Arabidopsis thaliana: one gene and its partners. The protein of the gene in region 3 binds, or shares a complex with, the protein of the main gene of each other region. Each region holds a gene or a part of one and is shown on either strand. Other genes may lie near its edges. The genes, in order: AT3G61420, UVH6, AT1G12400 and GTF2H2.

The links.
Region 1: AT1G12400 (region 3) and AT3G61420 share a complex: the UniProt entries of both Arabidopsis thaliana proteins name them as parts of the 7-subunit TFIIH core complex.
Region 2: AT1G12400 (region 3) and UVH6 share a complex: the UniProt entries of both Arabidopsis thaliana proteins name them as parts of the 7-subunit TFIIH core complex.
Region 4: AT1G12400 (region 3) and GTF2H2 share a complex: the UniProt entries of both Arabidopsis thaliana proteins name them as parts of the 7-subunit TFIIH core complex.

Annotation. Positions count from the first base shown.
Region 1 is NC_003074.8:22,725,259-22,735,002, reverse strand, and holds AT3G61420 (BSD domain (BTF2-like transcription factors, Synapse-associated proteins and DOS2-like proteins)), read left to right. Parts: upstream 1-2,850; 5' UTR 2,851-3,242; coding exon 3,243-3,308; intron 3,309-3,383; exon of another isoform or gene 3,384-3,406; coding exon 3,407-3,485; intron 3,486-3,572; coding exon 3,573-3,634; intron 3,635-3,720; coding exon 3,721-3,784; intron 3,785-3,887; coding exon 3,888-4,002; intron 4,003-4,068; coding exon 4,069-4,144; intron 4,145-4,234; coding exon 4,235-4,330; intron 4,331-4,414; coding exon 4,415-4,459; intron 4,460-4,760; coding exon 4,761-4,817; intron 4,818-4,916; coding exon 4,917-5,072; intron 5,073-5,174; coding exon 5,175-5,240; intron 5,241-5,786; coding exon 5,787-5,910; intron 5,911-6,093; coding exon 6,094-6,150; intron 6,151-6,269; coding exon 6,270-6,397; intron 6,398-6,485; coding exon 6,486-6,659; intron 6,660-6,754; coding exon 6,755-6,868; intron 6,869-7,008; coding exon 7,009-7,086; intron 7,087-7,218; coding exon 7,219-7,266; intron 7,267-7,463; coding exon 7,464-7,532; and 4 more. Other genes in the region: PIP1A (plasma membrane intrinsic protein 1A), read right to left, coding at 80-220, 459-754, 1,019-1,346; SK21 (SKP1-like 21), read left to right, coding at 9,426-9,461. UniProt on the Arabidopsis thaliana protein: Component of the general transcription and DNA repair factor IIH (TFIIH) core complex, which is involved in general and transcription-coupled nucleotide excision repair (NER) of damaged DNA and, when complexed to CAK, in RNA transcription by RNA polymerase II.
Region 2 is NC_003070.9:772,328-781,234, reverse strand, and holds UVH6 (RAD3-like DNA-binding helicase protein), read right to left. Parts: upstream 5,709-8,907; 5' UTR 5,586-5,708; exon of another isoform or gene 5,428-5,585; 5' UTR 5,414-5,427; coding exon 4,880-5,413; intron 4,754-4,879; coding exon 4,473-4,753; intron 4,081-4,472; coding exon 3,998-4,080; intron 3,900-3,997; coding exon 3,496-3,899; intron 3,364-3,495; coding exon 3,170-3,363; intron 3,083-3,169; coding exon 2,902-3,082; intron 2,750-2,901; coding exon 2,625-2,749; intron 2,429-2,624; coding exon 2,339-2,428; intron 2,234-2,338; coding exon 2,155-2,233; intron 2,062-2,154; coding exon 1,985-2,061; intron 1,698-1,984; coding exon 1,589-1,697; intron 1,492-1,588; coding exon 1,372-1,491; 3' UTR 1,191-1,371; downstream 1-1,190. Other genes in the region: AT1G03200 (uncharacterized protein), read right to left, coding at 111-154, 399-480; AT1G03180 (non-structural protein), read right to left, coding at 6,056-6,113, 6,188-6,267, 6,356-6,450, 6,535-6,583, 6,696-7,004, 7,082-7,139, 7,544-7,692. UniProt on the Arabidopsis thaliana protein: ATP-dependent 5'-3' DNA helicase, component of the general transcription and DNA repair factor IIH (TFIIH) core complex, which is involved in general and transcription-coupled nucleotide excision repair (NER) of damaged DNA and, when complexed to CDK-activating kinase (CAK), involved in transcription by RNA polymerase II.
Region 3 is NC_003070.9:4,217,882-4,223,365, forward strand, and holds AT1G12400 (Nucleotide excision repair, TFIIH, subunit TTDA), read left to right. Parts: upstream 1-3,945; 5' UTR 3,946-4,129; intron 4,130-4,405; 5' UTR 4,406-4,414; coding exon of another isoform or gene 4,415-4,449; 5' UTR 4,450-4,488; coding exon 4,489-4,722; 3' UTR 4,723-4,984; downstream 4,985-5,484. Other genes in the region: AT1G12390 (Cornichon family protein), read left to right, coding at 2,466-2,537, 3,087-3,268, 3,348-3,470, 3,564-3,600; CLP2 (CLP protease proteolytic subunit 2), read left to right, coding at 5,218-5,267, 5,359-5,402. UniProt on the Arabidopsis thaliana protein: Component of the general transcription and DNA repair factor IIH (TFIIH) core complex, which is involved in general and transcription-coupled nucleotide excision repair (NER) of damaged DNA and, when complexed to CAK, in RNA transcription by RNA polymerase II.
Region 4 is NC_003070.9:1,446,838-1,453,614, forward strand, and holds GTF2H2 (general transcription factor II H2), read right to left. Parts: upstream 4,065-6,777; 5' UTR 4,016-4,064; coding exon 3,740-4,015; intron 3,338-3,739; coding exon 2,876-3,337; intron 2,779-2,875; coding exon 2,400-2,778; intron 2,225-2,399; coding exon 2,076-2,224; 3' UTR 1,794-2,075; downstream 1-1,793. Other genes in the region: AT1G05040 (UBA-like domain protein), read right to left, coding at 921-1,010, 1,117-1,219, 1,304-1,611; AT1G05060 (coiled-coil protein), read right to left, coding at 4,418-4,525, 4,614-4,700, 4,828-4,919, 5,458-5,582, 5,672-6,021. UniProt on the Arabidopsis thaliana protein: Component of the general transcription and DNA repair factor IIH (TFIIH) core complex, which is involved in general and transcription-coupled nucleotide excision repair (NER) of damaged DNA and, when complexed to CAK, in RNA transcription by RNA polymerase II.

The DNA of each region.
Region 1 (9,744 bases), on a different chromosome or scaffold from region 3:
AAAAAAACGAAATTGTCAGGGAAAAATGCTCGAAACCGAGTTTGGAATGCGATTTGGTATATAGTGTGTGGAAACTCACGTGGTCATCCCAGGAATGGTCTTTGTTGTAGATGATTGCAGCTCCAAGGCTTCTAGCTGGGTTGATGCCTGTGCCAGTGATTGGGATGGTTGCCAAGTGAACCAAGAAAACCGCAAACCCGATTGGGAGTGGTGCAAGAATCTGCACAATTATTACAAAACTCAAGCCGGTAAGCAACAAATCCAATATTGAGAATCAGTCTTTAGTGCACACTAATGGCAGCTTCAAGTTCACTCATTTCAATTGTTTCTAGCAATTGTTACATGGACTGGTTACTTACGGGGACATGAGAGTCACACTAAAGGCAGCTTAAAAGTTCACTCATTTCAATTGTTTCAAGAAGCTATTAGCAGATATGTTACAAGGAGTGGTAACTTACAGGGACATGAGAGTCACGAGCATTTCTCTTGGCGTCAGTTGCTGAGAAGACTGTGTATACAAGAACGAATGTGCCAATGATCTCAGCTCCAAGACCACTTCCCTTGGTGTAACCATGAGCCACAGTGTTAGCTCCTCCTCCTAGAGCCTGGTATTGCTTAGGCTGGAACCCTTTAACCACTCCAGCACCACAGATAGCTCCCAAGCACTGCATCACTATGTAGTACAGAGCTCTAGTAAGCGACAGCTTCCGGGCTAAGAACAGACCAAAAGTAACCGCTGGGTTGATGTGTCCACCTGAGAGTTACATATAAAAAAAATACATTCCAAGATTAGGCTAAAGGACACAATTCATATTAGAAAACTGCAAATTCCACCAAGATTGTAGCTTTCTGAGATTTCTTGAATCAGATACAAATGGAACAAGTTCAGGCTAAGAAGCTATAAATCTAAACACAATTTTCTCAAGATTATAGCTTTATCGTCTTCTTTCACAACCCAAACACTCGGAAACCTAATTACAGTAAAAAGGCGTATACTTGGAGAAGTAGAGTGACTTACCGGAGATACCAGCGGTACAGTAGACTAAGGCAAATATCATACCACCGAAAGCCCAAGCGATTCCTTGGATTCCGACGGAAGCACACATGTTCGGTGACCTTTTCACTCCCATAACAGTCAAGACAGTGATGTAGAGAAAGAGAAAAGTAGCGATGAACTCAGCGATCCCAGCTCTCCAAAAAGACCATGAAGAAAGCTCACCAGGTTCGAAAAACGGAGCTGGTGGTGGTTCCTTGTAGTCCTTGTCACTCTGAGCTGATGTTCCGATTGGTTGTCTCTCCGGGAACTTGTTAGCTCCAACTCTAACGTCTTCTTCCTTGCCTTCCATATCTTCGATCTCTGTAGAGAGAAATTGTAAAGCTCTGTTTTTTTTCTTCTTCTTCTTCTCTGAGTGTGGGATTTGAGAAAGTAGAGTGGTTAATTATATAGTTGGAAGATGTAATGCAAAGAAAGTTGAGAAATAAAAAATAAAGACGATGATGACAAATTGACAATAACATAAAATTTTGTTAATGTTATCTTCGTAGTAATCATACTTACTAAATAAATCTAATTATTGGATTGGGTCAGTGATAATTTAACCGTTTGGACTTTGGACAGAGTTTTGAATGCTCCATTCCAGCTATTTTTGTAGTTTTATCAGTAATGTTTTCTAATCAAAAATAGATCAATGTCTGTTTTTAATAATCCCTCATGATTGTCACTAATTTGGTTAGTTACTAACTGTTACGAACAAAACATGATCCTCCAGTTGAGATGATCTGGCGTTTGCCAGCCAGGATAAGAAGTTAAGAACATCTGTACCATAAGCACCATGCACATTCATTATGTACCATGACTATGACATTCTCCATAATGATTAATGAGTGTACCTACAGAGTTGGGAAATTAAGAGATAGTACCAATAATTCTGTTTTTTCTCTCTTCATGATCGTCTAAACTAACTTTTTTTATTTATGATGATTGATAATCGTTATCGAACTAGTGAATAAATTTTTTCTATCATCAAAGTTACAAAGCACTGGTTTGTGCCAAGATTACAAATTATTTGTTCCTACCACAAAACGTAAGTAGTGTACTAATTGCCAAATAGAAAAGACAATGTTAAAGAAAACAAAAACATGCTTAGTGGTTGCTATATTGTTCTGGAATGGGCCCTATGGCCCTACGCTCTTGTAGCATCCAAGGGCCATCTTGATTACCACCTAGTATTTTCCAACTCCTTATCAATCATTTTGACACTGTAATTAAGTAATTAATGATAAAAAAGGCTCATGTGAGATACTTTCTCAAACTAAAAATCCACATTTACACGATTTGAGGACCTTCAATCTTTAAATTATTATTTTTATATGTATATTTAAGCTGCAAAATAGAAACACTTAAAACCAAAATGTTGAAACATCAGCTAAAATCACTAGCCACTAAAAAAAAAGACCGACCCATTAAGCCTCATGACATGATAAAAGAATGTGTGAAGTGTGATTTTGGAATTTTTATGTTGGAGACTGATTATTTAATAGCCGTCCAATGCATCGACGATAAGATACGTGGAGTCATACCACCTAATGCCGGCGCCTTACATATCCAAAACCGACCATTTATCTTATGACATATGTACTCGATCAATTTATTAATTTTATTGTGGCTGCTATTCATGATTGCATTTGCCCCACCTAGCCACCCCCATTTGCGTCACGGCTCCATAAAAAAAAAAAATATTCATTGACCAAACACAAAAAAACAAGCGAAAATTACCAATGTCCTCCTAACATGAAATTAATAAGACAAATGTTATCGTCTGCCTATAATAAACTAAAAAAAAACAATAAAAAAAAGTTGCGACTTTTAGCTCGAGACAATAAATGGGCCATACATATACGGGCTTAAGCTAACAACACTACTATTGATCGCAGGCCCGGTTAAACAAGGCTCGTACACGTGGCTCTTGAGACTCATCAACTTCGGGTGTGAACTGTTGAACCATCTCAAGACATGAGCTATCACGGCTCGTACACGTGGTTCTAACCACCTCATTATCTCTCGAACTTAAAATTAACAAAATTCCCAAATTATTTAGCTATTTTTGTCTGATCTGCCGACGCTAGCCGTTCTCCTCCGCCAGATTCAAATATTTCCTCCGCCGTCGACACTCCTTACCTCCTCCGGCTCACAAACTTAATCCACCAATTTTACCATGCTTTAGAACCTTGGGCATATATCAATGGAGAAGCGAGTCAAATACAAGAGCTTTGTGAAGGATCCAGGAACTCTTGGATCCCTCGAATTAGTAAGAATACTTTAACTCTTTGCCACTATATGATTTCTATTTTTGTTTCCTTACTCAATGGTTTTTTTCTCAAAGGATCTTCCAATTTTTGTTCTCAGAGTGAAGTGATGCTGCTCTTTGTCCCAAATGATCCTAAATCAGATTTGAAGCTTAAAGTTCAGACTCACAACATCAAAAGTAAGTGTTTGATTATCCATATTGTTCATTCAGATTTATCATGAATAATTTCTCTAAATGATTATTGTGCCATGTTAAATTTCTCAGGTCAGAAATATACCAAAGAAGGATCAAATAAACCTCCTTGGCTCAATCTGACCAGCAAGCAGGTTGTTTTTCCTCGGCCCTTTTTGCTCAAGGCTAAAAAATATTGATAGGTGTATCACTGAAGTTTCCTCGTCTTTGATTATTACAGGGAAGGAGTCATATCTTTGAGTTTGAAAATTATCCTGACATGCATGCTTGTCGTGATTTCATCAGTAAGCTCCACGTGCCATGATTTGGTGTTATTGATTCATTTTAAGTATTTTTTCTGTGTTTCTTTCGTGGTGTTGTTGCTGTAACCAATTGTGCTATGAACAGCTAAGGCCCTTGCTAAATGTGAAGAGGAGCCTAATAAACTAGTTGTCTTGACACCTGCTGAACAACTTAGTATGGCAGAATTTGAGCTACGCTTCAAGCTTCTTCGAGAAAATAGGTGTGTAATCACTTATAAAAGTTGCTTTCTTTTTGGGTAAAAGTTTCTGATATTATGATAATGAAGTGAGTTGCAGAAATTGCATAAGCAATTTGTGGAAAGTAAAGTCCTGACGGAAGACGAATTCTGGTCTACGAGGAAGGTTGGTTCTTTGTTTGTTTCCTTGATGTTTCAGTTTTGCTCTTCTCGTAAGTCTCAATCGTAATAGTTATCAACTGTGTTCTGATCGCAGAAATTACTTGGTAAAGATTCCATTAGAAAGTCAAAACAACAGATGGGGCTCAAAAGCATGATGGTTTCAGGCATCAAACCGTCTACTGATGGCCGGGTATGGTATAATACATCCATTTGCTGATAAATTTTATATGACATTTCATCTGGTTTAACCTCTCTTCAATTTTTGATCTTTCAGACTAATAGGGTGACGTTTAACTTAACGTCTGAGATAATTTTTCAGGTTAGCTATCTGGTTCACTATCTTTCTCATTGATGTAAGGGCTATATAAGTTTCTGAATTTGAATCCAAGCGCGATCCTCCAGGGTCGGGATAAGTTTATATGGCCAATGGGGTTGAAGTTGCAATTGGTGATATATTGAGTCATAAATTCATTACTAGATGTTCGGGTTGCATCATGTGCTTGAACTTACAAATTCCAGTGGGAAACTAGAATTGAAAAGTAAAAACATTTTTAACTAAATGCTGCTTCATTCATACTACTGTCCTTTTCTCACATATGATATCTTCATAACTCTTTCAGATTTTTGCTGAGAAGCCGGCTGTTCGCCAGGCATTCATAAATTATGTTCCGAAAAAGGTAACAAAGACTTCAGCACTCTGACCATCTTTGTTTATTGGTTTAATCATCAAATACAATGATTCATAACTGCCTTTCGTAGTTATTTTTCTACGCCAGATGACAGAAAAGGACTTTTGGACAAAATATTTTAGAGCAGAATATCTTTACAGCACAAAAAATACAGCAGTAGCTGCAGCAGAAGCTGCTGAGGATGAGGAACTCGCTGTCTTTCTGAAGCCTGACGAGATATTGGCTCAGGAAGCTCGTCAAAAGGTCATTTCTTTTTTATAATTAATTATTTCCATGTCATTTGCTTAAAAGGATAATGATTGTGGTCTAACCAATAACCATTTATTTTAAATGTCATGTTTGTAGATGAGACGGGTTGATCCAACTCTTGACATGGACGCTGACGAGGGAGATGACTACACCCATCTTATGGTAAGCCAACTATCAACTCATTCTGCATCAAGGTTTATTGAAACGATAATTTCAAGTTAACAGTGTAGAAATTTCCACAGATAAAATAGGTCTCTCATCGGCTTTTTCAGTGTTGGTGTTTACATATTGTCTCACCCTAGAAGTAGTAGTAGCATGAGAAGCATTGTGCTCCATAGATGATACTAATACTGACGGTGATAAGCATCAACTTGTAACAGTGTGTCAAATGTTTTGTTTTCTAGAATTTCATCAATCCTTTTATAAGTTATTCAATCAAGAAAATTTATGTTCTCACAAATGTAAATTATGGACTGTGTAAACTATATTTGAATTATGTGATCTATTTCTTGCTTAGAAATTGAATTTCATTTAGTGCTTTATCTCCCACTCAGGTCCATTACTTTATATTAGCCTAACGCTAGTATCCAGAAAACAGTGATCTTATAACTTACATTTTGCTCTTTCTATATGTTGGTTGAAAGGTTATTCACATTTTCTGCTGGATCATATTTTATTTTGTGCTTAATTAAATTTCCTGTCACTCAGGACCACGGGATCCAGCGCGATGGCACCAATGACATTATTGAACCACAGAATGACCAGCTTAAGAGGTCACTTTTACAAGATCTTAATCGTCATGCTGCTGTTGTATTGGAAGGAAGATGCATCAGTAAACACTTTCAACTCTGATTGTTTCATCTGGTGTTTTGTGTAACAGTATAAAAAATAGCCATCAAATGACTTCCCAACAGATAGTTGATGAGGGATAAACATGTATTTTGGCCCTCTGCTTTTAGTTCTTGGTGGTAAAGTATACAATGATACTCACTTATTCTTTTATACTGGAAAGTAGATGTTCAGTCTGAAGATACGAGAATTGTTGCAGAGGCTCTCACACGGGCGAAACAAGGTTTGCTGTTTCATTATGATATGCTCTACTTATCTTTTTCTTTTTCTATGCTGATCAATGGCCAATGCTGCAATTCATATTCATCTGACCTAGGTATCCATGTCTATTACCCCTGGTAGTAAGCAAAGCTGATGGTGAAATCACCAAGGACGCTAATCAGGAGAGGTTGGAGAGAATGTCCCGTGCAACAGAAATGGAGGATCTTCAAGCACCACAAAACTTCCCATTAGCACCACTCTCTATCAAGGTCTTGGCTTTTTGTGATAAATAGGTTTACACTGTTGATGATGAAAGATGGTGCGTAAATCCTCGTACCTTCTCTTGTTTGGAATCAGGACCCTCGTGATTACTTTGAATCTCAACAAGGAAACATCCTCAGTGAACCCAGAGGAGCAAAGGCGTCAAAAAGAAATGTCCATGAAGCTTATGGATTACTAAAAGAATCCATTTTGGTGATTAGAATGACGGGATTAAGTGATCCGTTGATTAAACCTGAAGTTTCCTTTGAGGTGCTATTCTATCTCAATATAAAATGCATGCTGCCTAAAGAAACCATGGCTTATTGCTTTGTTCCCTGAGCTAAATATTGCTAAACCCTATCCAGGTTTTCAGTTCGTTGACCCGAACTATCTCAACTGCCAAAAATATTCTCGGGAAGAACCCGCAAGAGAGCTTTCTGGACAGATTACCAAAGTCCACTAAGGATGAAGTTATACATGTAAGTCTGACATCCTCCAATGTCCCAAGTAACAAGCAGCTCAATATATACTGATTACTGTAATTTGGTTAATAATGCCTATGGATATTGTTGTCCCCTCAAATGCATCAATACTTTTTCCTTTTTTCTCTCATATACAGCACTGGACATCAATACAAGAATTAGTGAGACATTTTTGGTCATCTTACCCAATAACAACGACATATCTTAGTACCAAGGTAATGTTGTTGCCACTTCACATTCTTCCAATCATAGAGTTTGCTATGTACATAGATTCTTCAGGATCAAATTGAAATTTATTTACACTGAGAGGAAATTCTTATACTAGGATGTTATATTTTATCATGCAGGTTGGTAAACTGAAGGATGCAATGTCCAATACTTATTCACTACTCGATGTAAGCTATGGAATTCTTCTTCAAATCTTTTTCTCGGAGTAATGCGTTAGAAAAGTAGTTCATTATATCTTCATACGAATGCATTTACACAAACATGAAATTTGGGTAAAATGAATAGGTGCAGAGTTGTAGTCGAAACTTACAGCATATGGTCTAGTGTTTATGGTTTCCGTAATATTATACCGAATGTAAACCAGGCAATGAAACAGTCGGTGCAGTCTGATCTCCGGCATCAAGTTTCCTTACTAGTTCGTCCAATGCAACAGGTTAGCTTCCTTCCAATTCATAGATAGTTTTATTACATCATGTCTTGGTGAAGTCTTATTTTTTCCACTCGCATTGTATCGATCCAATTTAACCAGCAAAACCAGACATTGCGTTGTAATCCAGTTTATGAATTGAAATCTGAGTGATATTAACCCGTTTTCTCCACCAGGCTCTTGATGCTGCGTTCCAACACTACGAATCGGACTTGCAGAGAAGAACCGCTAAGATTACATAGAGAACGTTTTGTACTTGGAAAGAAAGAGATTTCCTTCGACAAAAAATTAAACATTGGACTGAACATTTAGATTTTGTAGTGTAATAGATAAGATTCTTAAAGAACTTGAGTGAGAAGCATCATTAGCGGGATTTGGCCAAGAATGTTGCTTGTGCTACAAGGAACCTCTCAATACCCCAATTGTTTTTTTTTTGGGTGGCAAAACAGTTGGTTAAGAACTTGATTGAGAAGCATTAGCGGGGTTTGGTTAAGAATGTTGCTTGAGCTATGTAGTCACTGAATCGGTCATTAAACTCTCATAAACAGAAATCGATGATGCTAATACTATTGTTTAGTTAAAGGTTAGATATGTTGCTAATGAATTTGTTTAGTTTTGTAAGAGCATAGTGATAATTGAGAAATTGGATAATATATAGAGAAGACGATGGGAAGTGTATAGGGGTATTCGGGTTTAATTAACCTAGCATTTGTTTTGAGAATGTTTGTAATAAATTTGTTTACCATAAAAAAACCTTATAGAAATTAAATTAACCTAACCTAAAAAAAAATAAAAAAATGAAAAATGAGAATAAGAAAGAAAGAAAGTGAAGACAGAAAGGTTCACAGAAATAGCCATCTAGAAGAGCCTCACCGACTTCATCAGCCACCAACGAACCCTGAGATTCTATTTTCATCATCTCGAGCCATGAGCCATCGCGGCTCGTACACGTGGCAATTATAACCCACTCCATTTTCTCTCTTGTCTTTTTTTTTTTTTTGCGCGAGAAAAACTTAATTATTAAAAAGAAATCCCAAAATATTATTAAGCCCTTCTTTCTCTCTCTTATCCGCTCCTGTCTCTCTCTCTCTCTTGGTCTGTTTCTGCCGCCGCCGTCGCCGTTATCCCCCGCCAGATTCAAATCTTTCTTCCACCATCGTCACTCATTGCTTCTCCTCCGGTCGTAAGGTACGACACGCTTGTATTCTTCTTATCTATTGCTTTCTCATCGTCGTGTTTCTCCATTATATGTATCTCTCTATGCGTGTGCTACTTGTTCGATTGTATCGTTTGATCATTTGAATGTTATCTATGTCTCTCTCTCTCGCTGTTGGTATTCACTCTATTCCTCTTTTAATTTCAGTCTCCATTGTATCAATTTAAGTTTCGGCACCTCTGTCTTTTGTTTCATTTTTGGTATTTAGCACCTCTCTCTTCATTTCTGGGCTTAGGGTTTTACGAATTCATGATTGAGGTGCCTCTTCACATTCGAGAGAAACTTACTTTCCATCAAAAAGAGAAAAAGTTGAATCGATTCTGAACTTACTAATCTAGACTCTCTTAGTTTGTGTGGACCTGGTTGATGCATTTTTGATTAGATGCCAGATTCAATCTCGAGCTTTCTGAGTGTTTACCAAGTTTGATTTCAAATTTATGATCAATACATTGTTTCTTCTCTTGTACCCAGTTTAGTGTTAAGTTTCCGGAAATTGATTGAGATTGATGTCTCGATGCTCATAGACCTGAAATAATCCTCCTTCTGTGCAGTATTTGGAACCTTGAAGACTTAAAAATAACAACTTTTTATAGTGGGCGCTGTCCAATATATTGGAGAGCTTGACAGTGTAATAAGATATATACTCTACAAGCGTTATACCCGAAGACTGGGTCTATAAATCAATGTCAGAAGGTGAAATGGCCATCATTAAACCAGAGGTAAGCTCTGATACTTTAACTAATGTGGATTTTGTTGGCGTATAGCTAACTAACTCACATGTATTTCGTTTACTTATTATGGCAACAAGGACCTATGTTAGTTATCATAAAGAGTGAGGGTTAGTATTGTTAGATATTTTGCTCAAATGTACTAGCAAGGTTAGATTTTGGATACATAACAAGTTAGCAACCATTTGCGTCAATGTTTTATATTAATCGTGATTAATTAGTCTCTAGTAGTTCTTATCATATGCGTTTACATGACCTACTCGTTACATCATAG
Region 2 (8,907 bases), 3.4 Mb from region 3:
GTAATTAAACTATCTATAAGATTATAGATTATAAACAAAATAGGGATGAAAATTGACCTGACCGAATGGGATGATGCATTGTCTCTGTAGAATTATCCGTCTTTCACACGCTACGATATCACAGATGAAAAAAGCTCCGAAGTTGCAACCACATCTACATACAAAGAAGAAATAATTGATTAGAAGGAATCTTGAATAAAAATCAAAAACTTTGAGAAATATATGATTAGGGTTAGAGCTAGGGAAATAATATAAGACCTAAAATTCAAATTGGATTAGACGAAACCCACTTTAAACATGAGAATTCTTTGTTTTGCGATCAACCAGAATACAGTAATTAGATACCATATAAAAAAAAGACGTTATTTGGCCAAAAATTCCAACAAGACGAAAAGTACCTTTTGAGAACAGAGTGTTGGAGTCGGTGCAAGTTGATTTGATCTCTTGACGATAGCCTTTGCTTTTGCTTCTGATCTTCATCCCCAAAAAAAAACAAAAATCGATCGTTTGTTTTGTTTTATGAATTAAACACAGTAAAATTGATGAAAGAGTAGAGTAAAATTCACGGTTGATCAGTGATCTGGGTAGAAGAAAGAGACGAGAGAAATAGAAAAAACGAAGAACGGTTTTACGATGAGAGAAAGAGAGGAAAGTGCTATCGAATGGATCTCTGACTCTGGATTTGTATTTATAAACAGTATTTCTGAACTTCTAATGGAAACCTACAAAAAGAATGAAAGCTTTATTACGGAGGAACGGAAAAAGGAAACTTGGCCGAGAGAGACGAAAATACCTAAATACCCCCCTTGGGAAAAAGGAAAATTTGGCTCAAGAGAGGAAATTCCCTAAATAGTCTTCGGGAAAAAGGAAATCTGGTTTCTCGCACGTTGAAAAATTAGCCTGCGTAATAACGGCTAGTGGGTGAGCTGGAACTCCAACTGTTGGGCTTTGCAAGTGCCCAATGGGCTTCGACAGTTTTTGAGGCGGTTATTGGAGACAGGTGATTGGGTCGTCGCACTAACTCTGCCAATTTCAATTCCACTTCTACTGCTTGGTTAAATTTATTTAATCATTCTTTAAGATTTTTTTTTTTTAGTGGTATGTTTGATAGATTTAACAAGGAGCCGACGAAGTATTTCTTGATCTAAAATGATGTAATGAGTGAATATGATAATCTAGTTATCTTAACATTAAGCATAAATTTTGCTAATTTCAATAGATTTAAAACCAAAACGAAACTTTTACGAGCCTTAAATTTCAATTCGATTCTTGAAAATCATCAAGAAAAAGAACAAAATACCTACAGTGAAAATTTTTGCTACAACAATTTTTGATTGACCTAAACCAAAAAATAACAAACAAACTGATTTACTAATAAGCCATGTCTTGCACACCAGTCTCAGCCATCTTCTCCAAATCTTCTTGTGTCAACAGAGTTTTCCTTCCCATTGTACCCGCCTTATCATACGGTTGAGCCATTTTCCGAAGAAACTGCAAAAAAAACAAAAACCAGGAAAATTGTTGATTCTTTATGCCTTGTTGTTTGTTTCACTGTGAGTTATAAAAAAGCAGCGAGTTATAGGTTTACCTCTCGAGCAATGTGAATAGCCATATCAGTGCTTAGATTCAAGTGTGCATCACGCAGATGCGAAAGTATCCAACCAGGTAGTTTGGACCGCTTATCATGACGGCTGTATCTGCAAGTTTTACCATCAATTGCAGTGTATTGTTAGACCATAGAAATGTGACATTATAAACCAACATAAGCATATATCTGTGTCTCTCTTCTGTCCTACGAATATTTTCCCATTCCTAAGGAACAGTGTGAACTCTGTTACAATCTTCTATTCTCGAGGTGATCTCAGATACTTGCGCATATACTTATTATCATACTAGATAGATTATAGAGAGAATCCCATTTAGTAAAATAGCAAGAATCTAAATGACCAGACTCAGAGAGAGAAAACTTAAGGCGGGCATGTACCTTTTGTCTGCAAATATCATCATCCCATAATCAGCCTTTGACCGGATTACTCGCCCTACACATTGAGCTGCTTGCCTCTGTGTTAAAGCCAAAAAGAGTTAACAACAGTCACAAACAGGTAAAAGAGTTGCACACCAAAATCTAATAAGATCATAAAATAAGAATCATACCAAGGCATCAAAAGTTAGGAAATCGCCTTCTTTTATTTGAAATGTATCGTGCAAATACTCCAATCTTGCTCGTAATATCCTGAAATTTTTCCCGTTTCCATCTTATCATCTCCCAAGTACGATGAAATATAAAAGCAGAAAACCGGAAATTGAAATGATAAACATTCATTTGAGTACAACTTACTTGCTTAATGTATACTGGAATGGTACTCCGTACATTACAACCAGTCTTCCATAATGACGATCAAAATCGATACCTTCAGCAACTTTCCCCCTGCAGTTCAAATACAAAATTTGATCACTTTCTTTGAAATTTCTCAAAAGTGAAACCTCTTTAATATTTGTTAACCAACCAAGAATAGGAGAGAAGAGACAATTCCAGTATTATAATACAGAAACAAAGAAGCAGAACCAAAGACGCATTGCAATGAATTCCCAAACCATCTACCATTCAAAAATAAAAATTTTACCTGGCCACAGAGAAGAAAACTGCACCTCTTCCGCAATCGCAAGCCCTGCGATAATTATCCAGTGCCAATGTTGTTTCTACAACATCTTGTGTTTCAATGAAAACAAGCTTCTGTTGCATTATTTCCTACAAACATTAAGAGAATTGGTAATATCAGTAAACAAATATACATTAATGCCTGAAGCAACTAAAAATATTTTGAGGTATCATAAAAATTCCAATTCATGCAAAACTCTGAAAAAATTACTGGCATGGTAAAGCGATGAAGAAGACCTTACCTTCAGAATTCCAGTTTCATTCCATGTAGCAATAATGCCATCCATATATGAGTAACTAACAAAGAAGCAGACAACTCCATCAGGAACAATAGATACCATCTCTACCAAAAGCTTTCCGTAATTCCTCACAACACCAGGATCACTTCTCATGTCAAATTTGGTGCTAACAGGAAGCTGATCACTGAAAAAGAAAACAACCAATAATGTCAAGACATATAAAATTAAAAAATAAGTTAAGTGTTCAGGATTCTTTTTATATACCACATACCTTCCCCGAGTTAGAACCATAGGGCAGATGCAGTCTCGTGTCATTGACATCTTAAAGCTTCGACTAACAACAGGAGTGAAATTAAGAAGACGGGGGTAAAGATCAATTGGGCTCAATGTGCCTGATGTAATCACGACTGACTGGAAACGATCAAACACCGGTTTGATCGCCAGAGACGCATCATGACAGCTCAACTAAGATACAAAAGGATATATGTTTCAGATACAATTCTCAATTATTCAAACGGTAGCATTTACGTGTGAGTCATAATCCCTTAAAATCCCAGTGACAATACTCAAAAGAAAGTAGGTCAACACCATATTTACCTGCAATATAGGATCTGGAATATGGGGCATTCTCTCGTCATAAGGCTCGATGATGATGGAAAATCCCCGGGCATATGTCCCAACAAGAGTTGCAAAGTCGCACACTGTCTGGATAGGCAAAAACTCATCTGTATCTGTAATTTCAAGGGTTAGCATGAGAGACTGGAGCCGGTCATAACAGAACTTCAGTGTTTTCTGCTCAATTCCAGCCTGAGAATTCAGTGACGATACAAAGCTAACAGGGCTTTCTTTCTCTACATTCTCAGTGTCCAGCCGTACCCCCAAGTACTGAAGTAATCGGCGTAAAACATGCACAAAATGCTCAGCCCGTCTAATATTCCCCGGGACAGCCTCCTTTAGAATATCATGAGGCAGTGCAGGGTTTGCAAGCCATTGATCACCTCCTGCAAAAAAAAAATTGTTGCGTCAAGTTCATAGAATTAGAAAATTTACTGTGTGCTTTCAATCAAATCACAGATCACCTTCCTGAACACATACTTACCAGATAAGTCCCCTCTCAGTGCTAAACCCTCAACCAGCCGGTTGTATTCAGCTCGCAATCTTCCTGCATCAGTAGCCTTGAACCTTCCTACCAGTTGGACAATTTCAATAATGTAATAAGAACTTAAAAATAAGCATCAGCAAATAACCAGGTCACTTCCTGTATTGAACCAAGAAAATTATGCTTCATGTGTTTAAGATGATGACAAAAGCGTTTGTAAATTTTTGTTCCCCTTACAGTTCTTTGACAAAAAGCAGTCTCATAAAACCAGATTATTTTCTTACTAACTTAAACTTCCTTAAGAAAACCAACAATTAGCAACTGGAGTGAGCAGACACCCAGATGGCATTCAAGAACAATCAGGAAATTCAATTGAAAAAGAAAAGACCCTATCACTGTGTTTATTGTTGTATTAAGAGTGGCACGTTCAAGAGAACTTAAGGAGTATCAGCTATATAGGAAAAAATTAGCGTACCTATCAATTTCTTGCCTTATCTTATTAAGATTTCGATTAGCTCCTTCAAGTGTAACCCTCCTCACACTGACGCTGAGTGCTTCAATACACACGTTATCGATATTATGGGCCTCGTCAAACACTACAACTGACTCTTTTTGTAACTCCTTTGATATGAACCCAGCAACCTTAGGATCCAGTAGGTATTGGTAGCTGTAAACAATAACGTTGGCGAACTGAATCATATGCCTCGCGAGAAAGTAAGGGCACCATCCACGATTCTTACCAAACGCCCTTAGATCCTAAAAATCGAAACACACATATACCATCAGGCAAAATGTGCAAGTAACCTCGAAATAAGCATTCCAACTAAAACATAAACTTGATCAAACAACAAATGTGAAAAACCTTAACTTTTTTAATCTTACCTCTAAAGTATAAACACCAGGAGGCAACAACGCATTCTCAGCAGCCTTTTCATAGTTCTCAAAGAAGTCACAGAGTTCTACATTTGGATTCTCCGTGGACAAAGCCCTAACCCAGCTAGCAGTTCGTTTCCTACAGGCCGCATCAACAGAATCACGATTCTCGGCTGCTAAAACCTTAGTATTAACGCAAAGATTCTTCCGAGAGGAAAGACCAAGGGCGAGGATCTTAGCCTGGGTGCCGAGATGGCGTACTTGGTAGTCATGTAGTAGCTTAAGCTCACCTAACGTTTTCTCCATCTCGTGGACAGTACGAGTACAGTAAACAAGCTTGATCGGAGAATCAGGACGAGAGAGTCGATAGCTGGTGATTAGAGAGAGAAGAGCAATGGTTTTACCAGTTCCGGTAGGCATCTCGAGAAGACAATGTCCCTTAGCGTCTAGGGCTCGCTTCAATTCAACCATGTATTCATATTGTTCTGGATATATGTTGTCATAAGGGAAGTAGACAGTTACGTCTTCGATTTTAAAGATCATCTTCTTCCTCCTACCTAGAAATCGAAATTGGCATTAGAACTAACAAAACCCTAAAAAACTCGAATTCACTTTAGCAAAACAAGCGATTCAAGTTGGAGTAGATAAACCCGAACAACGAGAAAGAAGGAACAATTGAGATCAAGCGAAGAGAAGATAACAGGAGAAAACTTACAGGTGATAATGGAAGCTTCGATGTGTTATCAACGACTGAGAGAGGAACCGGTAGCAGCTTCAAGGTAGAAGAAGAAGAAGAAGAAGAAGAAGAAGAAAATTTTGCGTCTGTGTTTGCCGAAGTAACCAGAGCAAACAGAAGAGGAGGACTCTTATTAGAAAAACTTAAAGCTTTGTTTCTTTTTCATTCTGACCCCCTATTTATTTATTTTAATGCGTTTGACCCCCTAACTTTATGTATATTAAACTTCTCGACAAAATTAGGTTTTTAAATGTTAACAATTCGTCCAAAAATATAAAATAGTTGAACAATCCTGATTTTGTTAAAACAACAGAGTATTAGAGTATGCAGTAGTAGTAGTACAATGTCATCTCAAGATTTGGAATTGTTTCAACAATGCTGGTTTTTTTCTAAAATTTGCAACAGGGTTTAGTTACAACAATAGAGAGATACAAACAAACTCTAAAGTCTTATTCTTCAACTGGTTGATGGAAAGCTAATCCCTTTATCACATGTCGACATTGATACCTGCAATGACACAGTAAGGCATGGTCAAGAACTTGTTTAGTGTGTAACTGGAGAATTGTGAATAAGAGAAGTACCATATTAGATCATTTGTGGGAGGAGAATTTGTTGCATTGTCTTGCGTTCTGCACTTGAATCTCAACTTTGAAGGCACAAACTGCAATAATAAAAGATGTTTGCAGGTGACGGAAAATCGGAATGTTGTACATGGATGTGTGAAATAGAATTAGCAGAGAAGTGTATACCTTTCTGTTGTATCTGAAGTCACGTTTAGGAAGGAAATGTTGTGGAAGATTCAAAGTAGGTGGAGCATGAACCAATATGAAGAGCCTCATTGGACCTGCAACTCAGAAGAAGGGAAAAAAATCATTACACCATAATTCACAACAATGCTAAAGAAGTTTGCAATTTATGCAAAAGTTACCTGGGTAGGAAGTTGATCCAGCACCCGTCGAGATCAGTGCTCGGATAGTCTGTAAAGCCAAGAGTGAAGGGCTCAACCATTTTTGACTTATCACAGCAGATAAAATTGAAAAGAGACAAATCACAAGCAACATGAAAACAGAGGTAAGAAAAAGAATAAACCTTTTTTGAAAGTGCTTCTGCAGCTTTGGATTTAGCAAAGTCACCTTCGTAGCCTAGAACATGGTCTCTGCGTTGTGTGAATAACAACTCATAAGCATTTTGAGGCCGTAATGGACTACCACCAAGAATCAACACAACTTTCTGAATGCCAGGAGCTTCACGGATCATTAACTGCAGCGCACTTCGGAGACTAGAGATGGTTTTCATCAGTTTCTCCAGTTTCTTAATCTCATTCTTCACCTCTCTCTTTCTACTCATCAGTTTTCTTCTAACCAGTGGTTTCACTTGAGGTTCTGCAAGATTCGTCTCCTACAACCTAAGATTCTTAGAGTGTGAAAAAGACCTTAGACCTTAAAGTGAAAATGGCGTCTGTAGGACTAACATACCAAATCCATAAATTCAGTTTGCAATCCTTCAAATTCAAGGCTCATGTCTTGTAATACCCTGCACAGATGTAAATAACCAACAACAGTCATATTGGTAGAAGGAGCTTTGTGTAGCCAAAACCAAAGCTGCAAATTGAAGTTTCTGGTTTTCAGTAAAACACTCATAGTGGATACAACAGACTTAATTCTAAAACCAAAAGGAAGTAGTGTGCACAATTGCGTAGAGCTTTTCAATTTCTCCTAGAATTGAACATAACTCACCTACCAGGAATTAATCACTAATCCATCCAGAATCCATAAATTCATAACCACGAAACTATTTTTCTTCTGATAAATTCGTAACCAACAGACTAATCGGAGAAATTAACGGAGAGATTGAAGAACAAACAAATAGATACATCATCACCAGATCGAAGGATACATCGAAGCATAGAGATACGAAGATAGGAAGAGATAACATACGAAGGGATCTGCTGGTGCATATAGAGGACGAATCCGACTATGTCATTGATGATATGGAAGACGCCGGAGCCGCCTAATGAAGAAGCGGTGGTCGCGATGTCTACGTCGTAGTTCTCCTCTGTAGTTCCTTCCCCTTCCGCCATTTCCATCGTGAATCGAAAATTGGAAACCTTGTGACTGTATGTATGTGTTGCTGAAGAAATTTGAAAAAAAGTCAGTAGGCGGGTGAGAGAAGACGAAGAAGAGAAAAACAGATCCTTCCAGAGAAGAAAATCACCCAACAAAAGTGGAAACTAGAAACGATGCAAATGACAAATTAACCCGATAGAAACTGAGAATAACAAATCAACCCCTATACTTTATTAATTTCAAAAGCTAAGCTTTGATTTATTACCAAAGTACCCTGAAGTTGGACCAATAAGCGGTGGCGAGTGGTTGGGCCGTATAGAGGGGACTAAAATGCCTTCCTTCACGTTATTTGAGAATCATAATTGGATCCAGCTTCGGCCCAATTTTCTACTTTATAACATTTTCCACAATTTGATATATATCATCGCGCGTATAATCGTGCTATTTTTATCAAATAACTTAGTAACGAATAGTTTGACAAAAAAAATATAGTTCATGACCATATTGTATGTTATTTTTCATTACACGTGTACTTCCACTAATTAAAAACAAAAAATAAAGTTACCTAATGATAAAACATAAGATTATTTGGTATAAAACCCTCTCATTTTTTTTATGTTTCATATCTCTCGGATTCCGTTCAAATTAGTTTCATTCCATTAAGGAAACATAACTAAAACTGTTACAACATCTTGTTGTATGCGATGAGCTGATGACCAATTTCATCATATATTAGTCGAAACATTATAACGTAGTAAACTATAATGAATGCACATATTTAACCATACAAAATTATTGTAGCGGCTTTGTTTTTGTTGCCAAAATTGATATGGTGGTTACCAATATAAACTAGTGATTGTTCGGTTTAAGAGATCAGGTTACCAAAAAAGAAGGTCATCAAAACTCAAAATAGAAACTGCGCAAACAAAAATACGTTTGATTATTAAAAAGAATGATTGAGATATCACAGAAATGGGTGCCGCATGAGATAGTGGCCAATAATAAGCATCAAGTGGCACATAGAACCATGGAAATAGAGTTCTCTCTCGATATTCGTTTGCAGAGAAACAAAGGACACTTTAATATATTTACACACTTTTGGGGTTTTAGATTGGACATTACTCATAGGTTGTCTAATTCTCATTGGTGGACATTTATATACTTTGCAAAATTTATATGTTGGGATGTTCATTATGTACGGACACTGAGACTAATTTCTTCGTCCATGTCGGGGA
Region 3 (5,484 bases):
AAGACATTAACGCAGAGACTGTGTTGTGTTGACCATTTTCTGTTGACTCATAAAGTACATTTCTTTGTAAATATTTTTTTTTGGTTTGTGTTGAAAGTTGTTTATTTTTGACTGCAACCTTTTACAACTTCCATTTTTTTACCGACACTTTTGGTTCCTACTAATTCCAACCATTTTTTTACTTTTTGTTAATCTCAATAGCAATTTTGCTTTCATTTGCTTTGTATGAATGTTCATGAATCATGTGTGTCTTGGCCGTCGTTAGAAGTTTGAAGTCATGATTCATGAATAACAACATCCTTTGTACTCTTCACAACTTCTACCTCTTTTTAGTTAAAAGTAAAAACCCAAAAAAACATGAACACACACTAAATAAAATTATGACTGAGGACCAATATTTACCTAAATAAAATTACTGGCCAATGGACACATTTAGCTAAATACCAACCAATCTGTAGCAGTCCAACAAAGTACACATGCTTTTCACTCATAGCCAAAAACTTAGAATTTTACTTTAGTATGTCGTTGATCTATGAATAATTTAATACAACCTATAAAACCATATCAATGCGAACAAACTCATACTAATGAATATTAAAAACACATTTTCTTGATCAACTATTCCAGCTAATTAACCACAACAAAGACTATTTCTTATGTGTCACACACACACATACACACACACACACATAAGTCTTTCTATATTTTACCCTTGATTTTCTACTCTTATTCCAATGCAAAAAGTGTCTTGAACTTGAACTTGTAAATCTCTCTTAGTAAAACGTATAATTAAAGTTATAAGTGGAGGTTAGTAGGAGTCAAGTTTTAATTGGTCAATATCTAATGTCATAAAATCCATGTCACAACTGTCTCCCACCTTCTAATGTAGAAGTATCATGTATGCATGCTTATATGTATGAATGATCAATGAATTCTAAAGTCTAATATACAAAATCCACCCATAACTGTATCTATATAATAAAAAGGCAGAAAATTAATTTCTTACCACATAATTTAGAGCAGTCCTATCTTAAAAAGATGGATAGTACTATCTATAAGAATGATCTTGTCTGTTACATACCAACCACCCAAAAACCATGGATTATGCCCTCTAATTTTATTTTTTGATAAACGACGTTTGCAATATAGTGATGAGAACTATTAATAACATCACTTTGTCATACGTTTTATTAACTTAAGGTGTCTACAATGTAAACAATGTAACAATATATCAAAGTAACTTCTTACGTTAATCTCCACTTAAATAAAATAATGCTGATTTTGTGAATGAAATTTGAAAATAAAATGTTTAGAATTGATATATACTTTTTTGCATGATACTTTTCATACGTGGAATGAGATTTCAAGATTGGTCCCTAAATGCATATATTAACTAAAAATAAGTAACTGTTGACAGAAAATAGGTATGTTATAAATTTGAATCTTCATTTTCCAGTTAGTGAAAACGAAGAGCCAATCCTTTCAGTTAAAAAAATACTGATATTGATTATTACTGTATCAAACGTAAATTGCTTGATTTACAATCTTGTACGAGAACTTCTTTTCCCAACCACTCCACTATATCGTGTTATACCCGAAATAAATATATATATACCATGTAAGAAATAATAATAGTTGAAATAAAAATAATGCCACCTTTTACATTGATAGCGATAGTAATTATTTGATTATTGAACTTGGATGGATTTAGTTACTAACATAGCTTCTTTATTTTACAACTTAATTGAACCACACTAGAGAGGCCAGAATCTATAATTAGTGAGGAAAATCCGACTAAGCTAAACCATATTACAATTCCAAAATGCTATCCTTCATAATCTCAATCTCTTAATCCTTGCAATTATAAGTTATGGATTCACCGTTCTTGAGAAAAGAAAGAAAGAAAAATACATGGAAAAGATGAAGCTTGTTTTTCTTCGTACTAGAAAACAGCTGGCTTTTCTCAATCACATGATTGAATGGTTTCTGGTACCATTTTTGTTTTTAATTTTTCATTTTTGATTTCCTTAAAACTATACAATAAGACAATGACCTAAAAAAAATTATACACGACTCAACAAAAATTACACGGCTCTCGTGCCCAAACCCAAACTGTTTACTATTTAATTGGGCTAAATCTATAGAGGCCCAATGGCTTATAAATCATAGATTCATAATACTGAAATATTAAACCGGCGTAAATGGTACGTACTTCGGGAAATAACGAATTCGATTTTAACCGGAAACTGAACCGGAAGCTGAGTCTCGTGCCTGCCTTCTCTAGGCTTCTTTGTTTCCGATCAGAATCTCGAGCTCAACTGTCAAAACTAGCCGACCACTAAGTCGTTGTCCTAACTTTCTCTCTGTTCCTCATCGAACATTATTGGGAGGAGAGAGAGAGAGAGAGAAGACCAAGAAACAACGAGGATAGATCCGAGGAAATTGTCGGAACCAAAAGGAGGAAGATGGGAGATATCTGGACATGGCTTATTTCCTTCTTCTTCCTCATCGCTCTTGTCGGAATCATCGTCTATCAGGTGCGATTCCCAATTTCTAGGATAAATAAACCCAAAGTTCTTAACTTTTCTATCGGAATTTGCCAATTTTTTCGCTTACGGTTATAATGATACCATATTTGTCCATTTTGATTCATTTGGAGCCTTTTTTTTGTTTCTGGGTAGTCTGTGATTTAGCTAGAATTAGGGTTTTATGTTCTTGTCACATGTTTGGAAGAAGTAAAGGTGTAATTTTTGGGAATGTTATCATCAAAGGAGTAAATTCAGGAACATATATAGTGCGTATTGGCTTCTCAAAACACTTTTATAGGTTCATAGTTAGTTCTTATGTTGGATGTTCATGTCAGGTCTGAGGATTTACCTCCTTAAGCACAGGTTGTTCTTTTATAAATGAGCTCCATTTCGGCATAATGAAGTGAACCCTTTAGTTTTGTTTGTGTAGACTCTAATGAGAGGAGTCACTGAGACTGATAAGCTAGCAAACGGAATCTTCCATGTATAAACAGCTTGGGAAGACATTTTCTAGGAAGCTAACTTCTCTTTTCTGAATTTGAATTCTTTCATTTGCAGCTTGTTTGCTTAGCGGATCTCGAGTTTGATTACATCAACCCTTACGACTCTGCGTCGAGAATAAACTCAGTGGTTTTACCGGAGTTCATTGTTCAAGGAGTTCTATGCGTATTCTACCTCCTAACAGGACACTGGTTCATGACACTCTTATGTCTCCCCTATCTATACTACAACTTCCATCTGTAAGTCCAACTAATCTCAATCTTTTGCTCCAATCAAATGTTGTGGTATTGATATCCTTTCGGTTTCTCCGTTGTTCAGTTACTCGAAGCGACAACACTTAGTAGATGTCACCGAGATCTTCAATTTGCTTAACTGGGAAAAGAAGAAACGGCTGTTCAAGCTTGCTTACATTGTCCTTAACCTCTTTCTCACTATCTTCTGGTAACGAGAAAGATATTTCGAATCCCATTATTGCTTAACCATAAGTAGATCAAGAGAGCTAAAACACTTTCTGTTTGCAACTTTTTTTCGTAGGATGATTTATTCGGCGCTGGATGATTACGAGGACTGACTAATGAAGAAGACATGGTCCATCTTCTTCGGTTTATTGACACTACGCTTAAAGATACAGCGACATGCTTGTGGACATGAAAAAAAGCAAGGAAAAGTGTTTGCTTTGTGATGTTTGTAAGATTAGTGGCAGGAAGATTTGTGTATTTATTTCTTTCTTAGAAACATGTTCAGATTAACTGTTTTTTTTATGTCTTGATCATTATTTGTACAAGCAATCAAGCTCGTAAACTACTGGTTACAGTAACAATGAAACTGAATAATTTCAAATATAAGAAGAAAAAAAGTTAATTCATGTGAACTTTGACTTTTAAAAGTGAGAAACCCTTTTGAGTGATGTAATAAACGATAACTTAAAAGATGATCCGAACCTTCTGTTTCAGTTTTGTAATTAGGTTATCTTATAAAGCTAATCCTTCTCTCCTTTACTGTGACAATAATCGTCGTTATCAAGGTGATTTCTTTCTCTGCCTCAAACATCGCTTACCCTCTTGATTGATTCCTCCAATCTTCTTCGTGTGGTTTCACAGGTGTGTGGTTGATCTCTAGACCAAATTGATCTGGTTTCATCCTATTTCTATTTGGTCTGTAATCGTTAAAGTCTTAAGATTTGGGAATCGAGTTTATGTTGTGGTGTTTAGGTAGCGAAACCCCAGTTATGTAATCGTTGCATCTAGTAATTTGGGGTCCTTGAATTGAAACAAAGGATTAATCTTTCATTCATCTATGTTCTGAGTTATCGAGGATGTTCTTGGGTCATCTTTTGATGAAAATTGAGCTCAGATTATTCGTGTTTTGTATTACAGGTTTTACTTATGGTTAATGCAATCAAAGGAGTGTTCGTCTCTTGGTACTTCTTACCGTTGTTACGATTCCTAAGCAAATCTTGATGAACACAATTGAATCATTCATTGTTTCTTTGTATCTTTTGTTTGTTTGCAGCGATATTCCGATGACACAATTCATAGTGAACATGAACAATTCGATGCCTCCGTCTCAGAAATTCATAATTCATGTACTTGATAGTACTCACTTGTTCGTGCAACCACATGTAGAGCAGATGATCCGCAGCGCCATTTCTGATTTTAGAGATCAAAACTCTTACGAGAAGCCCACTTCTTAGATCACATCACATCACACTTGCTTCTTGTTTTTCTTTCATTTGATTCAAATGAATAAAAACTTCATTGAGATCGTGAGATTGGTTGATATGGCTCATGCTTTAATAGAGTTAAAGTGAACTTTGTTGACAAATAATCTCTCTGTACCGGTTTAGTATCAGTCGGTTTTCTCTGGTTGTGTTGATTACTTTGTCACTCTTTTGTTGAATAAACACGTTTGTTTGGTTATTGTTCAATTACTTGTAGTAGATAATAAACAGATTAAAGAATTCGGAAGTTCCAAATTTCATTTTACTCATGAAGGATGAACCAAGTAAAATCAGAAACTAAGTTAACCACATACAATTTGCACATGTGAACCAATTCGGTTAAGCAAACCAATAAACCAATCTTCTTCAACAAATTACCCAATCTGTATGTAAGCTTTTCCACTTCTTCTAGTCTTAAAATAAAACAAACAAAAAATCTAGTGTTCGGCTCTAACACGCTCGACGACCATGGCGGTCTCGTTTAATACAACGCTTCACCAGCCTTCTCTGAGTCCGAGGTAATCTTCAATTTATCTAAATTTACATACTTTTGTCTCTGTTCACACATATTCACTTGCATCTGATTGCTTTGTTATGTCCTTTTTGCAGCTGTAGCATCAAGCTTTATTCTGGGTTAAAGCCTCAATCTGCAAGTTTGTTCCTTTTCCTCTTAATATGTCCGAAAGTTCATGTTTTTAATCGAATTGGTCTGCGAGATGTGAGGGAACTGATTTA
Region 4 (6,777 bases), 2.8 Mb from region 3:
GCTTAGGCTACTGATTGAGGATGGAATTTCTCCGACTAAGCCCATACCAGTTAGATGCAAGACCTCTCAGTTGGTGAGTCTTCCAAGTTGGGCGAAGAATGAGGACGAGTCAAAGTGGTTGTAAGCGAGATCGAGATACCTGAGGTGATGAAGTCTGAAAAGACTTACTATTAGCATTGAGGGAGCCTCTGAGACATGCACCATATAGGTCTAGCTTCGTCACTACACCGGTCTCGTTATCAAATTTGTCGTTGCATTTGAGTAAGTCAAGTTGCATTTGGGGAATGGAAATTCATTTTTAAAAGCCAAAAAGGATCTCAATTTGGTCGGGACGAGGAAGTGGCAAAGAAAAAAGACTGATAACAGAGAAGCTGGATAGAAAGACACAACACAAGAAACAGGAGATGGAGAAAACAGGCAAAAGCGGTTTTACCAATAAAGACTTGAAAGAAAAGAAGAGACCGAAGGAGAAATTTGGTACATATGATTTGGTTCTGCAGCCAAACCACTTATAACGATGATAAGACTCATAATAGACAACGTCAAATTGCTTGACTCTAAACTTTGTGGCAATTTGAACTTCAGACAAGATCAATCAATTACTGAGGACAAAGTATGGACCAATACCATATTGGACCTGGACTTAGAGGTCACTGGTCCTCATAATAAATACAACTAAGATATTTCTACAGTCTAGATATGATCCTCATAATCAAACACCAGACTTTTCTGAATCGTATTCAAGAAGAATTTAAGTTGTGTGTATATGAAGTTTGTGCAAGGTTTACCTAAAAAAAAAAGTTTGTGTAAGATCAAGGTTTAATGATATGTTGAGTAGGTGAGCAAGATTGGATAAAGAAGTACCAATAAAGGATTTATACATCAATCTGCTTCCATCTCAAGAAAAAAGTCCAATCAGCTTAGTCAGAGTCCGAATAAGGATCCGGTCTAGGCAAGTGAATCTCAATGGAGGTGGATTCACAAATCTTCGTAGCTTGAACTGATGATCCCTAAGGTGATACAATACACATCATTTAAAGGAAAGAGATGTGATTATAGGTATAATAAGCAAAAGACAGTACTGGTAATGGAGTAGCATGCAAGAATAGAATTTACCTCTTCTTTAAACTCTTGATTCACCGGATTAGCTATAGACACAATTTTTTCTCCATGAGATATATCATCAGAATCATGAAGCTCTCTTCCACTATCATCCAAACTATACAAAACAAAAGAAACAAGATTAAACATTCTTTTTAGATGATTTGGATTACCGAGCCCTTAATATTATTAAATCACCCACCTGGTGGCCAAAGCACCCGTATCAGAGCTTTTCGTTATGGTTATCTCATCTTGGCGCATCTTCAGCGTAAATTCCGAGACAGAGGTAGTAGAGTATCTTCTTCTTAAAGGAGATCGAGATCGCTCTCGCCATTCATTCACCCTCCGTGGAGTCGCTCTTATTTTGAGCGGAGGAAGTTGATCACCGAGGAAACCAGAGATGGCGTCTTCGAGATTCCAGTCGAATCCTTCAAGGTAGTAGAATGCTGCATCTTTACACGCAGACGTTGCCTTGCAGAACCTAGTGACGTTAGTATCTTCTTCCTTCATGGTGGTGTTAGGGACTTTTCTCAAAGATTAAGTACGTTGTTTACTTATGACAATCACTAAGAATTGTTTCACTTAGATCTAATATAAAAGCTTCTAACAAACAGAGAGATATTTAGGGAAGTAGTTGCGACCTTGTCATGACAGTATCAACAAACAACTGATGATACGGTCTCCTTTTGTTTACCACCGAAATAATTCTTTATTACTACTGTTCGTTTTCTCATGAGTGAAGAAATTTCAAGCCCAAGTTAAATAGAAAATCAAACAATTAAGAATGCTATCTCTGAAAATTTGAGTCGGTTTGTTTTGGATCAATTGTGAGAGAGCAATAGAGTCCACAAAAGAAGAAAGATTTTGGTTAAGGACATAAGACCAATTACAACATCCTATATCACAAAAAAAATTGCTTCCTCTCATCATCTCAATTGTGATTTATAATTGGAAGTGTGAACACATTCATTCTCTCATTCTTCCATCAAAGAAACTGATTTGGGACGGTGAATGCTCTCACAGCCAGGACAGTTGTGTAAGCTCTCGTGGATGTATATGTCACAGTCCAGACAGAAATAGTGCTTGCATTTACGACATGTTACGCATGGGACGGGTTTATTCCCTAAGCAAAAAACAAAAGCACCAATGAGCCTTTATATTTGAGTGAATGGATCGGTTACTTTGTATATACTATGACAAGGGTGAACCGTATCTTAAGTTCAACTACTGGTCTAGTGACCAAATGGTTATTCAACCAACAGTATTAAGACTCTATAAAATGGTGTTCAAGTAGTTACCTGCACCAATTAGGCTCTGTTGGCAACCAAAACAACTCTTTCCCAATTTTCTCCGATTATCATTCAGACTTGAAAGTGCAGGCACCTCATCAAATGGAGCAATCGGGAAGAGATGATGGTATGATCTCGCCAAATGCGGCGAAGAAACAAGTGTTAGACCGCAGATAGTGCATTCCGTAGGGAGGTCACATACCCGAGCTTTGCATCTTGGGCACATGTAACCAGCTCCAATCTTAACTTCCTTATGACACGAACAAATCGCCATTGAACCCTCAGCAGCTCTTTGTGGGAAACCCATCTTGATCAAATTTGCAATTGCAAATTCTGCTATTGCCGGAGGTGGAGGCGCATGTTCAAGCAGAAGATCCTTTAGATGCACCTGCGTGAAAAGACAAATACACACAAAGCACAATGTTATACCATACAAAACAAGTTTTTCAAAGGTCCAAGTGTAAGTAGAAGGTAGCTAAACTCACCTCGTCCACTGCAACTGAATACAATCCGCCAGTTTCCTGGCAGAGGTGTTTACATATGAACATTTCTGCAGAGAGCCCAATTACAGAACATCTTAATTTGGATTTCTTGCATTTTTGAATGGTCTCCATGATATCGCCTGGATCACATGTGCATAAAGCTGAGTACAATATCAGAACCTCGCGGTGACCATAAGATGGAACCTGGTTGAGATGCTCATGTACAAGTTCCAGAGCGTTCTGCAAAGAGGAGTCACCCAAAGCTTCCAACTTCCCCATCAACGCTTTGATGTGAGTCTCAGGACTACCACCAAGATCTGTTAATGTATGCGCAACTCCATTTTTTATAGAGACCAACCCAATTTGACTCAGAGGATTCTGGTCAAAGAACTCTCTAATGAAAGCTTCGACATGTTTGGCCATTATAGCCATCCGGCTTGGTCTGAAATCCATTTCCGCAGCTGCCTAGACACGACAAAACAGTCCAAAGTGTAAGACTTTGCATACCTTGGAACTAGAGAAATTTGAACCCAAATCATAATGTTGCCTTCAATAAAGAATCTGAATAAGGATCACATCCTTAAGCTCTACAAACCCACTTAGAGTAAGATTATCATTGCAAACAATACAGAGCCAATTATAGAACCTATTGAGAAGACTAAAGAGCAGAGATCTCCAAAACTAGAACGACGATTACATTAAAGTTACTTATCAGTGACCCAAAGTGCATAGTTTCTCTTTTATATAAGCTCTGATGAAAGCAACATAAGCTCAATTTCACGCCATCAAACTCAAAGGAAACGGCATTGAAGCTAAAAATCACAAAATCAGCAGCAGCAGCGGCGGATTGCAAAGAAAAATATTTACCCGAGAGAAGTCAATGACGATGTAGAGATATCGAATAAGTCCCTTTTGGATACGAGTACCAGCAGCAGCGGCGGAGAGCATACGAAGACGGCGGCGATACTGAGCATGGTAAATGGCACTGTTATCAATTGGCCGTAAAAGTCCAGACTCATCCTCTTGCAACTCCTCCCAGGATCGGTCGTCAACATAAGCTCTCTCCCACTCGCCGATACCTTCCGCATCTTCGTCGTCCTCTTCTTCTCTTTCATCGTTTGATCTCTTTCTTTGATTACTCATCGTTAACCTCACCGTCTAAGAGACCTAATTACAAAAAGAAGAAGAGAACTCTACTGAAGCCAAAATTTACATAAACAACCCTTACTTATTATAACGTTCACAATTTTGACTGTAACTTCCTATTCTGTATATTTAACCCACCAATCCATGTCCAATCAGAAGTGAAACATTTTATTTTGCTTACACAATAGGAAACATTGATATTGAAACTCATAAAAACTTTATTATACAAAACTTAAATCACTCGATACAACCTTTATACAGCAACATTGAAACTTCTTAGTTCTTACAGCACAATATGATAATTTACCTAAGATCTTATTGAATCTTACAAACATATAGAACTTCTTCTTTGACTTTCTCTATCCACATGGTTACACATTAACCAAAGGTCTTGGCCTTTTAAGATTTAGGTCCCAGAATTTTCGAAAGCTCCTTCAAGATTGGTTTCTCCTTGATAGTATTACCACCTTCATTCTCAATATGCCACTTCTTCGACATGTTTTCAGCCTGAAATTTATGGTCTTTTCGGGTTAGTCTATTAATGATTATGATCCACTTCAGTTGAGAAGATGCAAGTATCTTTGTAAAACATTACCCAAGTTCTTAAGGGCTCTACTTGTTCCTTCATCGACTCCAGTTTTGGCTGAAAAAGATCTTTGCCTTTCGTTCTTATGTCATCAGCCTAACAGAACGAAAATCATACAATAAAACCAAGTAAGGCGATGATGGCATTCAAGATCAGTCAATAATGCTTAGAAATGCTAATCTAAATGATTTAAGTAAGAAAATGGAAACATATGCAATCTTACATTACGCATGTCAAGTTTCGAGGCTGCCGTTCCAAAAACCAAAGTGGCTGAACCAAAGATGATAATAGTAGCGGCTGCAAATGCTTTTCCAACTGCAGAAACCAGAAAAATCAGAGGGCTCGAGATTAGGCAAACTTTCCGAACACTTCACGACATCAATTAACATTAAAAGACAAAAGACAATAACAGAATCTCAATCTAAGCAATATTATCAACAATTTCTAGGCTGTGAGAGAGATACTTAGATTATTTGTCATCAGAGTCAAAAAGAGACAACCAGAAAGCAGTTGTTACATTAGACACTCATGAACCCTCAGCCACGGAAAATCTTGGCTTTCATAACCAAACAAACCAAAGTTTTCTCTAGTAAGCTGAAACCTTTCAGAATTACTGCCATTGCAGTCCCTAACAAGGTAAAATAGACAAGTTTGGGCAAGCAATTTACATGATCAACATTAACAAAAGCAAGGAAGTGAAAACAGAACACGTAAAGATAGCAATCCTTCTATCTCTAGCAAACAACCCAAATCTAGTCATGTTCCTCTGTAGGTAACTGTATCCATAAATCCAATTATCCACGTTCAAAAAGATTTGATTTGCAGATAAACAAAAGAAGAGAAGTGATCATACTATGTTGAAGCCCTTCACCAGCAGCTTTCAATTTCTCAGGATTTACAGGAGTGCCGTATCTGTCTCTCCTCAATTCATTAGCTGTTGACGCCAAAACCGAATTCTCAGATTCCGGTAAATCCCATCTGCAATAAAAATCGACACAAATTAACAACAAATCCAAAATTTTGAAATACTCATCAAGTGAAACAGAGTATAAAACCCTAATTTGAACCTTCTACGGCCGAAAGTGACTTGTGGCAGAGACACATAACCTCTGAGAGGATTCAAGACATCAGGGGATATAGAAACTGTTGCGTTCGGGTCAGATTCAAGAGCCCATTTGGAGAATTGGGAGAGAGACGAAGGATCAGGAGGACGACCATATATTTTGGAAGGAAGAGAATGGCGTAGAATCTCCGGAAGAACGTCAGGTTGAATTTCCGGTGGATCCGGCGGAGAAGATGGAAGCTTTTTGCCAGTGGCCGGAGATTTCTCGGCGAGACGATTAACGGCGTGTTTGGATTCTTGGAAAAAGTAGGCAGCTTCTTTTCCCGCGAGTCTCCCTGCTCCAAGAAAACTCATTTTCTTTTGTTGTTGTTTCGGTTGATTAGTCTCGTTGCTTCTTATTTATACATATTATTATATCTTCTTCGGTCTCAGATATCCATAAAAAGATATGATTTTTAATCGACAATAGGATTAAAAAAACGATTTCCCAACCTTGGAGATCAAGGTTGAAGAAGGAAGATAGATTGGAGAGAAGCTCTTTTTGACTTTTAACCCGAGGTTGCAAAAAAGAGACCAACTTTACTTTCTTGACAAGTTGAAATCAATGGTCACAGCCCCAAACCAACGATTCTGATTCCAATAAACCATCAACCATATCTCCTCAACAGAATGACCAGCTCAAACAGTTATCACTGTGACGACTGTAGTCCCAGCTGAATGCAGACTTTGAACACGTGCTGTATAAACCCTATTTACTATTTTTTTAACCTTTCCTAGAATCCAAATGATTCGTTCGATTTTCCAGCCTTGGACAAACCCGATGAGATCATTGCGGTGTATGTTACAACGTTTTGAACCAAACCCTTTGAGCCCCATTCGTCAAAGAGAACCATCCTTTTGTCTTCCAAGTCCGTCCTTAGTTTCCGAGCTTCCTTTACTTTCCCTTGCTTGCAGTACGCATTGATCATCACATTTTAAGTGACAACATTAGGTTGTTGTTCTCCCTCAGATGGCCATCTCTTCAAGTAGCTTCTTTGCCTCTTTGAAGTTCTCTATTTTGCAGTAAATATCAATCAGATTAGTATGGTCAACCGTTTTACGCTCACTTCT